2 linked regions of the Zea mays genome follow. The protein of the gene in region 2 binds, or shares a complex with, the protein of the main gene of each other region. Links are inferred from orthologs where the notes say so. Each region holds a gene or a part of one and is shown on either strand. Other genes may lie near its edges. The genes, in order: RecQ-mediated genome instability protein 1-like and DNA topoisomerase 3-alpha-like.

Region 1 (3,926 bases), on a different chromosome or scaffold from region 2:
GCATAATGAAAACTTACATTTCCTGAAACAATGCACAATTAGCCATTTAGTAAGCCAAAAGGCTAGAGAATTATTATGGCACAGATCTCAGTATTGTAGATGGGTTCAAAATTGGCGACACTTCTACACTATTGGGGTCACAGCAATCTGTTGGGCCACCTGGAAAATGAGAAACAAAGCCTGCTATAAGAATAAGTTCATTCGGAATCCTGCTGAAATCCTTTGTGAGCTCTTATGAATTAGTGGGAAGGTCTATATTCCAAGGAAGCTCGAGGAATGCTACTGGAAAGTGTGGATATTATGCTTCAGATAGCTACAAGGATGCTGGTGCAAAGCAGTTCGGTGCCGATGGAGATAGAAGAAACCCACAGGGATGCTGATGATCAAGCAAACTAGTAGAAGATCGTGTGTCGGCCAACCGTTGATCTTCTCTGGAAAGTTTTTTTGGTGTAAAGAGAACGATCTTGTGGACTACAATACTATCAGTCATAGTCGGATGTGGTAGCTTGATAGTTGGTGCCTTAGTAGAGTAATGGAGTTTGTTAGAACTGACTTTGAATTTCAATTCTGCTCATCTTGTATCTGTTGCTTCGTGCATCTTGTATCTGTTGCTTCGTGTAGCGTTGATTTGGTGGTAGCCTTAGCTTACAGATATAGGGCTTTATATCTGTGTTGGCACCTTTTTGGGGTCAAATGCCAACAAACTCTAAAGCCTCCATGCGGCGTGCAAGATCTTGAGGTTGGCTCTATAATGCGGTCTTGAACTCGACCTCTATTTCTGCTCTACGAGCCAGTGGTGTGCCGGACGGTCTGTGATAAGGCACCAGACCATCCACGGGTGGACGGCGAACCATCCGCGATGGCGCAGAGAGCTCTCAGGTTAAACTAGATCTCGTCTCCCGGGAGAGACCCCGTTGGGGAGGAGACTGTAGAGTTGTTTCGGGGTCGGCAGGCCACCCAAAGCGCCTCTAGACGATGTAGAGTCGAAGAGAGATGGAGATTGAGATTGGGGAACTACAACTAAAGCTACGCTATAGACCTAAGACATGAAGATAAATAAGGTAATTGGATTGTGTTCTGAATCGGTCATACCCCTTCATATATATAGTGTGGAGATCTGGACCCGTTCCTATGAGAGATCCAACAATTTCTCGTGAGATTGTTAGGATAACCACACACAAGATAAGGAATCTAAAAAAACTCGACCGATAGGGGAAAGACCGCCCCCACGGTATTAAATTAAGAAGAAGCTCAATTAGAGCCTCGACCGAGAAAGGTCACGAAAGCTGGCCCCTCATGCAACATGAGGGTCCGCCCCCTATTGACCAGATTTTTACTAGTGCTTTGAGCCCTCTCAGCCCCTACACAAGGATCCGCCTCCATAGGTCAGTCCATCTCGTGTGCACACGACCAGAGGAAGCAACGAGTGACATTTTTTAACCTCGGCCTGAAATTCGCCCCCACTAGGGTTCAAACTCAGGACCTAAGGAGTGCTACTCAGACCACCTAACCCACTCGTCAAGAGGCCCTTTCACTCAAGATAAGGACTCTATCCTGAATTAATCTATAATCGTGAACCGTTCAGGCTACTCCTGCGCACTGTCAAGGTCACAAGGCCAGACCGTCCATGTGCCAAATTTAGTGTCCAACACTCTGTTTTCTTTCTAATTATTTACTCGATTCAGAAGAAGAAGAAATAGTATGGCATAGGGTGAGGAACCGAGTGGAATGGACAGAGAACTGCTTTGAATTTCATCATAAATTTGAAGATGATTTAAGCATGTGAAGTTGATTCACCATTTTGATCACCAATGAGAAGCAATTTCATAGCAAGAACTTGAATATTGCTATAACACCTCGTTTTCTCGATCAATACATTCTACACCAATCAGAAGTATCCACAAATTTTTCGGGGATTTAATAATTAGTTAAATCACAATAGGAGCATAGAAACAGTATGGATCTCAAGTGTAAATAGCTCAGCAGGGCAAAGTAAGATGCCATTTTCACAAATTAGATTATGCAATGTCAAACCTGAAGCACGAAGGGGCCATCAAGGAACTCAGCGTGCATGCCCCCGACGCCCTCCGGCAGCACCCCAGCACCGCAAGAGTTCATATCGGCGAAGAGAAACTGCTCGAAGCACCGCCTGGCCTGCGCCTCAACACCACCGAGGCCGTCGAAGCCGGGAATCCCCGCAGCGCAGGACTCGAGCCAGTCCGGCCGCAGAAGCAACCCGAGCCGCCGCAGGAACTCGTCCACCGGGCGCAACCGGCCGCTCAGCGGGGACGGGTGCGGAGGCGCTATTGAGGCCGGGGTCCGCGCCGAAGGCGGAGTCGGGGTCGGGGTCCGCGCCGAAGGCGGAGTCGGGGTCGGGGTCCGTGCCGAAGGTGGAGTCGGGATTGGGGTCTGGGACGGGGTAGTGATAGGAGGGGGAGGGGAAGGGGGAGCGGGAGCGGGAGCATGGAGCGCGGGAGGAGCTGGCGGGGAGAAGACCTCAGGGGCGTCAACGATGGGAGAGTCCCCGTCAGGGTCCACGATCTCGTCGACGTCCTCGTCGTCATCGGAGATGACGAAGGGGGCAGAAGATAGCGAGAGTGACGGGAAGGGGACTGGTAGGGGGCTGAGGTTTTGGGGCGAGGGCCGGCCGACGCTTCCGCTGCCGCTTACGCCGCCGCTAGCGACGGAAGCTGAAACTGAGGCGGGGGTTGTGGCGGTGGTCATGCCCTCGCCGTCGTCCTCGTCGGAATCAGAATGCACAATTAGGTTCCGGCGCCTCATTTTTTGGGAAGGAAGTTTTTGGCGGTCGTTTCATATGGAAACCAAATGAGCGAAGGGTTTTGGGAGAATTTTTGGTGGTTTCCCTCCGAGGCTTCGAACCGTCGAACGTGGGGAGGTCGGAGGAGGACGCCGATAAGGAACTGAGAAATGAGGATGACGTGTAGGGTTAAGGGTTTAGGGTCGCTGGTTTCGGCTCAATTAGAGTACTAGTCGATAGAGCGCGCGTGTTATATTAGCTAGAGATATATACAAAGTCTTATATACCACTACAGTAGAACAATTAATTAGTATGATTATAGATTTATAAAAGGTTAAGGAGTAAATTTACATCCAAAAGGTTAAATAGTATCATTTTGATCTTTACTAATCGGTTGCTCGTACGTTGCGACGGCTTACAACAATATCCACGTAAACTATTCACCAAAAAAATCAAGATTTTTTATTGATTGTCTCTGCTCTCCGTATAATATTTTACTTAATTTGGCTAACTGATGTTATTGTTTACTCCATGCAATATGACATGTGACAACACGACCAATGAAGTGAGCGATTAGAAAAGAGTTCACAACGATTGACTGAACGAACAGAGATTATAAAATGACATAATTTCACCATACAAAAACCAAATAAGAGAGTTTGTGAGCTCAAGTTTCTAAAATAAGTCACATGAACTCAAACTTATAAAAAAATGGATCAAAATATGGAGTGATTGCTAAAGTCAGGGAGCAATAAAAACTGGATGCGCTCCATATAAATTATGCTACTACGTAGCAGTTACTGACGTTTAAAACAAACAAATAATCTTTCATTTTACTGTTAGTGTGACAAATCATTGTTGCTCCATCCAATTCATCAACCTCAAACATCATGGAGTCCATTGCGCCAATGTGGTATCAGAAACGACCTAATACTTGTAAGAGCCAAAAACGTCGTGTCGTGCTTGGGCTGTAGCCTGGGCCCGTAGTGCTGGTCCGGCCCGACACGATTATATTTTTTATTTTACAGAAAAATGTATATACATATATACAATTTATATTCAATATTAAAAACATCTGAGCATAATGTTCTATTGATTAGACAACTTCACCCAGTGTATCCCGCCCTTCTTCCATCAGGGTATGGGTTCAGACCCCACTGTCGGTGTT
Region 2 (3,826 bases):
AGGTCATTTATGCAATGGTGCTGGGTCAATTATACCTAATATCTTTGAATGGGAGGAGTATTTTGTTAATAAATGTGTGGTTCATATTGAAGTGTATAAGTGGATTACCTACATTTTCCTAATAGCTTAAGCTTTTAGGTTAAACTGGTCAGTGTGTCCACTCTAACATGGTATCAGAGTCAGAGGTCTCGAGTTTGAATCCTGGCAGAGGCTTTATTTGTGCCTCTGCCCCTTTATTTCCACGTTTGTACCTTTCTTTGTGGCTGCATGTGAGTGGGGGTGTTGAAGTGTTTAAGTCATGGTTATTAAAGCGGTAAAACGTTAAAACGTTATGAACGAACGTTGAAACGTCTTTTCAGACATTACATAAAATTTCAATTATAGAATATGTTCATACATAAGTTAAGTACTTGAGTTTGAGTTCACAAAACAAAATGAAACAGATCAAGTTCAACCACACAAGTTACAACTTGTATATATGATCAGTAACCATAAACTCCTAATGACTGAAAGTCTGAAACTAGGGAGGGCATCACTGTCTGAACTGGAAGACTGAACCTGGAACTCTTGATGATTGAAAGTCTAAAACTAGGGAGGGTGGCGCTTCACTGGCCTGGCAGCGCTGGAATGTTGGAGGATGGAGAGGGAGGAGGAGGCAGAGGAGAGGAGAGGAGAGGAGAGGAGGGAGGCTGTCAGCACTGGACGCCTGGCAGCCCTGTGTATTTTTTGGCCTGTGAAAGGCCCAATAACACGTAGAACGTTCTGAACACGCCTAGAATGTCCGAAAACGAGAAAACGACGTTTAAGCGAAGTTTAAACGTGATAAACGGACGTTCTACGCGTTTTTGCTAAAACGACCGGACGTTTGTCGTTTAAACGACGTTTAAGCGAAGTTTTAATAACAATGGTTTGAGTTGAACTGGTTAATGCATTCACTCTATCAGTTCACGATTGTTCCTTCCTTATATTTGGTAGTATTTAATAATATGTACTCTCTCCTTTCCAAATTATAAGTTGTTCAGGTATAGACATAGTGTATAACTAGATGAATAGCAAAAGCTATGCAACTAGAAAAGCCTGAATAACTTATAATTTGGAACAGAGGAAGTATTTAACAAGTTCATTAGTAAACCAGTTAACCGTGGATACAGGAAAAACTGTTGTACCCAAGGAACCTCAGCAAGTCATCTTTTTTTCACTTTCATATATTATTTATGTATTATCACGAAAATTCATACTGATAATAGGATGCTTCCATTAGTTGCTTCACCTGGATCTGGCGATTGTTCTTCTTTCAAAGAAATGTTTTCTTCTTGTAGAAAAATTATCTGGATGTTTACCGCTTTGACTCATGGGGTGGAACGTTACTTCCAACATACAACATTGGGCAGCAGGTTTGCTGTAGTTATATTTCACACTGCACATTTTTTTTGGTTAAGTCATTTTCTTACTAAGATTTTATTGTGCATGACGGTTAACAAAAACTGGTTAAAGACTGCAGATAAATTCATAATATGAATTGAAAATATGGCCCTTTCTCTGTATTAATAAGTTAATATTACTAATGATGTATATCTAAAAATATGCAATATGTGCAGCCGTGTGTAATTTGTTGCAATATGTATGGAGTTACTCAATATTAGGCCGAACCATTCACGTCTCGTAAAATGAAGCGGTGCTCCAGCAGAATGCGAGCAGGAGAGAGAACGCGTGAATATGTGGCACGAAGGAAGGGAGCGTGGATGATGTGTAGCCACATACACAGTCTACTGGATGTGCTACAGTGTATTTTGATTGCGCAAATTGCCGATGCAAACTCAGATACGGCAGCTGCTGGAAATAGCCTTAGTTGGGTCTATTGTGGACCTCTATTTTTCTTCTTAATATAATGACGCCTCGTGCGCGTTCGAGAAACATAGTTGCTTGATTTATCTTAGAGATGACATTGATATCCAACTTTTTGTATCCTTTATTAACCAAATACAAAACTAACTTGACCTATCAATTCAAAATCATGCAGTTTGTTCCGACAACTTTAACACTTGATTCTGGAGTGACTCGGCCACCGCCTCTTCTGGCTGAAGCCGACCTTCTTAGCTGTATGGATAAAGTAAAAAAATCCTTCTTTTAACCCACGTTGTATTTTTTTATGGCAATAACTTCGTATTCAGAATTGGTGGATTGTGCCACTTAATGCATCTACATATCCATAATTTAAAATCATGCAGATTTGACATTTTCTTATTATATTTCCAGGCAGGAATTGGCACTGATGCAACCATGCATGATCACATAAAAAAGTTGCTTGACCGTTGTTATGCAACCAAAGATGAAAACACACGTTTCTCCCCGACAAATCTTGTATGTAGATGCCATGTAACTATCTTATTTGATCTTTTTTTCATCTACAGTCTTCACTATGGAATGCTTGCTTCTTGAAAAAAATAAAGTTATGCTAAAAAAGAATAAACACAGACCTGCATTCTTGTTTTGGCTAGCATACTGTAGCATAGTATCCAGATCACTAGAGCCATGTATGCCTCCATTAAATCCTCTTTTTTTGTGCGGAAAGTACTCTTATCCTTATGAGAGTTCTACTATTTGATGTCCAAAAGCAATTTTTATTTTTTTGTTTATGTAAGAGATGCATACTTTCCACGGTATACTTGCATTTTAATCTAATAATGACGTTTGTTCTGCCCCCCCCTCCATTGATATAGTTTCTGATGATCCACTTTGTTGTGAATTCGCAAATAACAATGAGCTAGAGCCTATGGCTTAGAAGTAAGATCGTGATTATTCCACATTATATAAGATTAATTATTCCAATTCATGAGTAATATTGCCAACTTTTGAGTTCATTTGTCTTCTTGAAACATAATCTTTTTCTTTTTTAATAATGAAACAAACTTACGATTTTTTGGGAAAAATGTAGGGTGAGGCATTGGTGATGGGTTATGATGAAATGGGGTGAGTTGACTCTTAAAGTTGCTGCACTTACTGAATATATAAAGGATGATCTGGTTGCTTTGCTCAAACACTACTTTTTAGGTATGAGCTTTGGAAGCCTTATTTAAGATCAATGATGGAAGCTGATATGAAATCAGTTAGCGTGGGTACTAAGAGTAAATCAGAAGTACTTGAGAGTTGTTTGCAGCAGATGAAGGCCTGTTTTCTTGACGTAAGTTGTAAATTTCTTGTATTTCATGATACATGTACATACTATTGTAATATTAAAACCATCGCAAAAGAAACAAAACAATGACATTGCGACTATTTTATTATACACATTTCTGAATCTGTATACTGTAATTTGATTCGATGGTGGTTATTGGTGCTATACAGGCAAGGGTGAAGAAAGCAAAACTCCTTGATGCAATGGGGACATTCTTTGCAAGGTGTTTGATTGGATTCATAAGCCATTCTTTACTTTGTATGAATTCCTGCCTTGAACTTGCCCTTTTATTTTCTAGGTCTAATAGGCCTATAAATGAAACTCAAAATCCAGTAGAGGTTGTGAGGCCTTGTGGTGCATGCAATGGATCTGAAATGTTGCTTAAGCGAAGGGCGGTAAGTTGTTCCGTAGTGACACTTTTCTTTCTTTTCTAGAGAAATTGGCATTACTCTATATAAATGCTTGAACTTTTCTTCTTTTCTGTCAGAGTGGTGAATTTATGGTTGGGTGCCGAAGTTATCCACAAGTGAGTAACATGGTATTTTGATAGAACTAAATTACCTTATTATGCTGGAAAATGGAACGTAGAACTGAAGTCACTGACACGGTAATTTCTGCAATGAGTTTGACATTAATAGCCGTGTTGATTTT

The links.
Region 1: DNA topoisomerase 3-alpha-like (region 2) and RecQ-mediated genome instability protein 1-like share a complex: the UniProt entries of both Arabidopsis thaliana proteins name them as parts of the RMI complex. The link is inferred for Zea mays from reciprocal best matches to the Arabidopsis thaliana genes TOP3A and RMI1.

Annotation. Positions count from the first base shown.
Region 1 is NC_050097.1:70,867,476-70,871,401, reverse strand, and holds the start of RecQ-mediated genome instability protein 1-like, read right to left. Parts: upstream 2,800-3,926; 5' UTR 2,782-2,799; coding exon 2,035-2,781; intron 1-2,034. UniProt on the Arabidopsis thaliana protein: Essential component of the RMI complex, a complex that plays an important role in the resolution step of homologous recombination, in a process called Holliday Junction dissolution, to limit DNA crossover formation in cells.
Region 2 is NC_050096.1:13,716,327-13,720,152, forward strand, and holds part of DNA topoisomerase 3-alpha-like, read left to right. Parts: intron 1-1,319; coding exon 1,320-1,394; intron 1,395-2,020; coding exon 2,021-2,110; intron 2,111-2,256; coding exon 2,257-2,361; intron 2,362-2,935; coding exon 2,936-2,970; intron 2,971-3,051; coding exon 3,052-3,181; intron 3,182-3,345; coding exon 3,346-3,398; intron 3,399-3,473; coding exon 3,474-3,570; intron 3,571-3,662; coding exon 3,663-3,701; intron 3,702-3,826. UniProt on the Arabidopsis thaliana protein: Releases the supercoiling and torsional tension of DNA introduced during the DNA replication and transcription by transiently cleaving and rejoining one strand of the DNA duplex.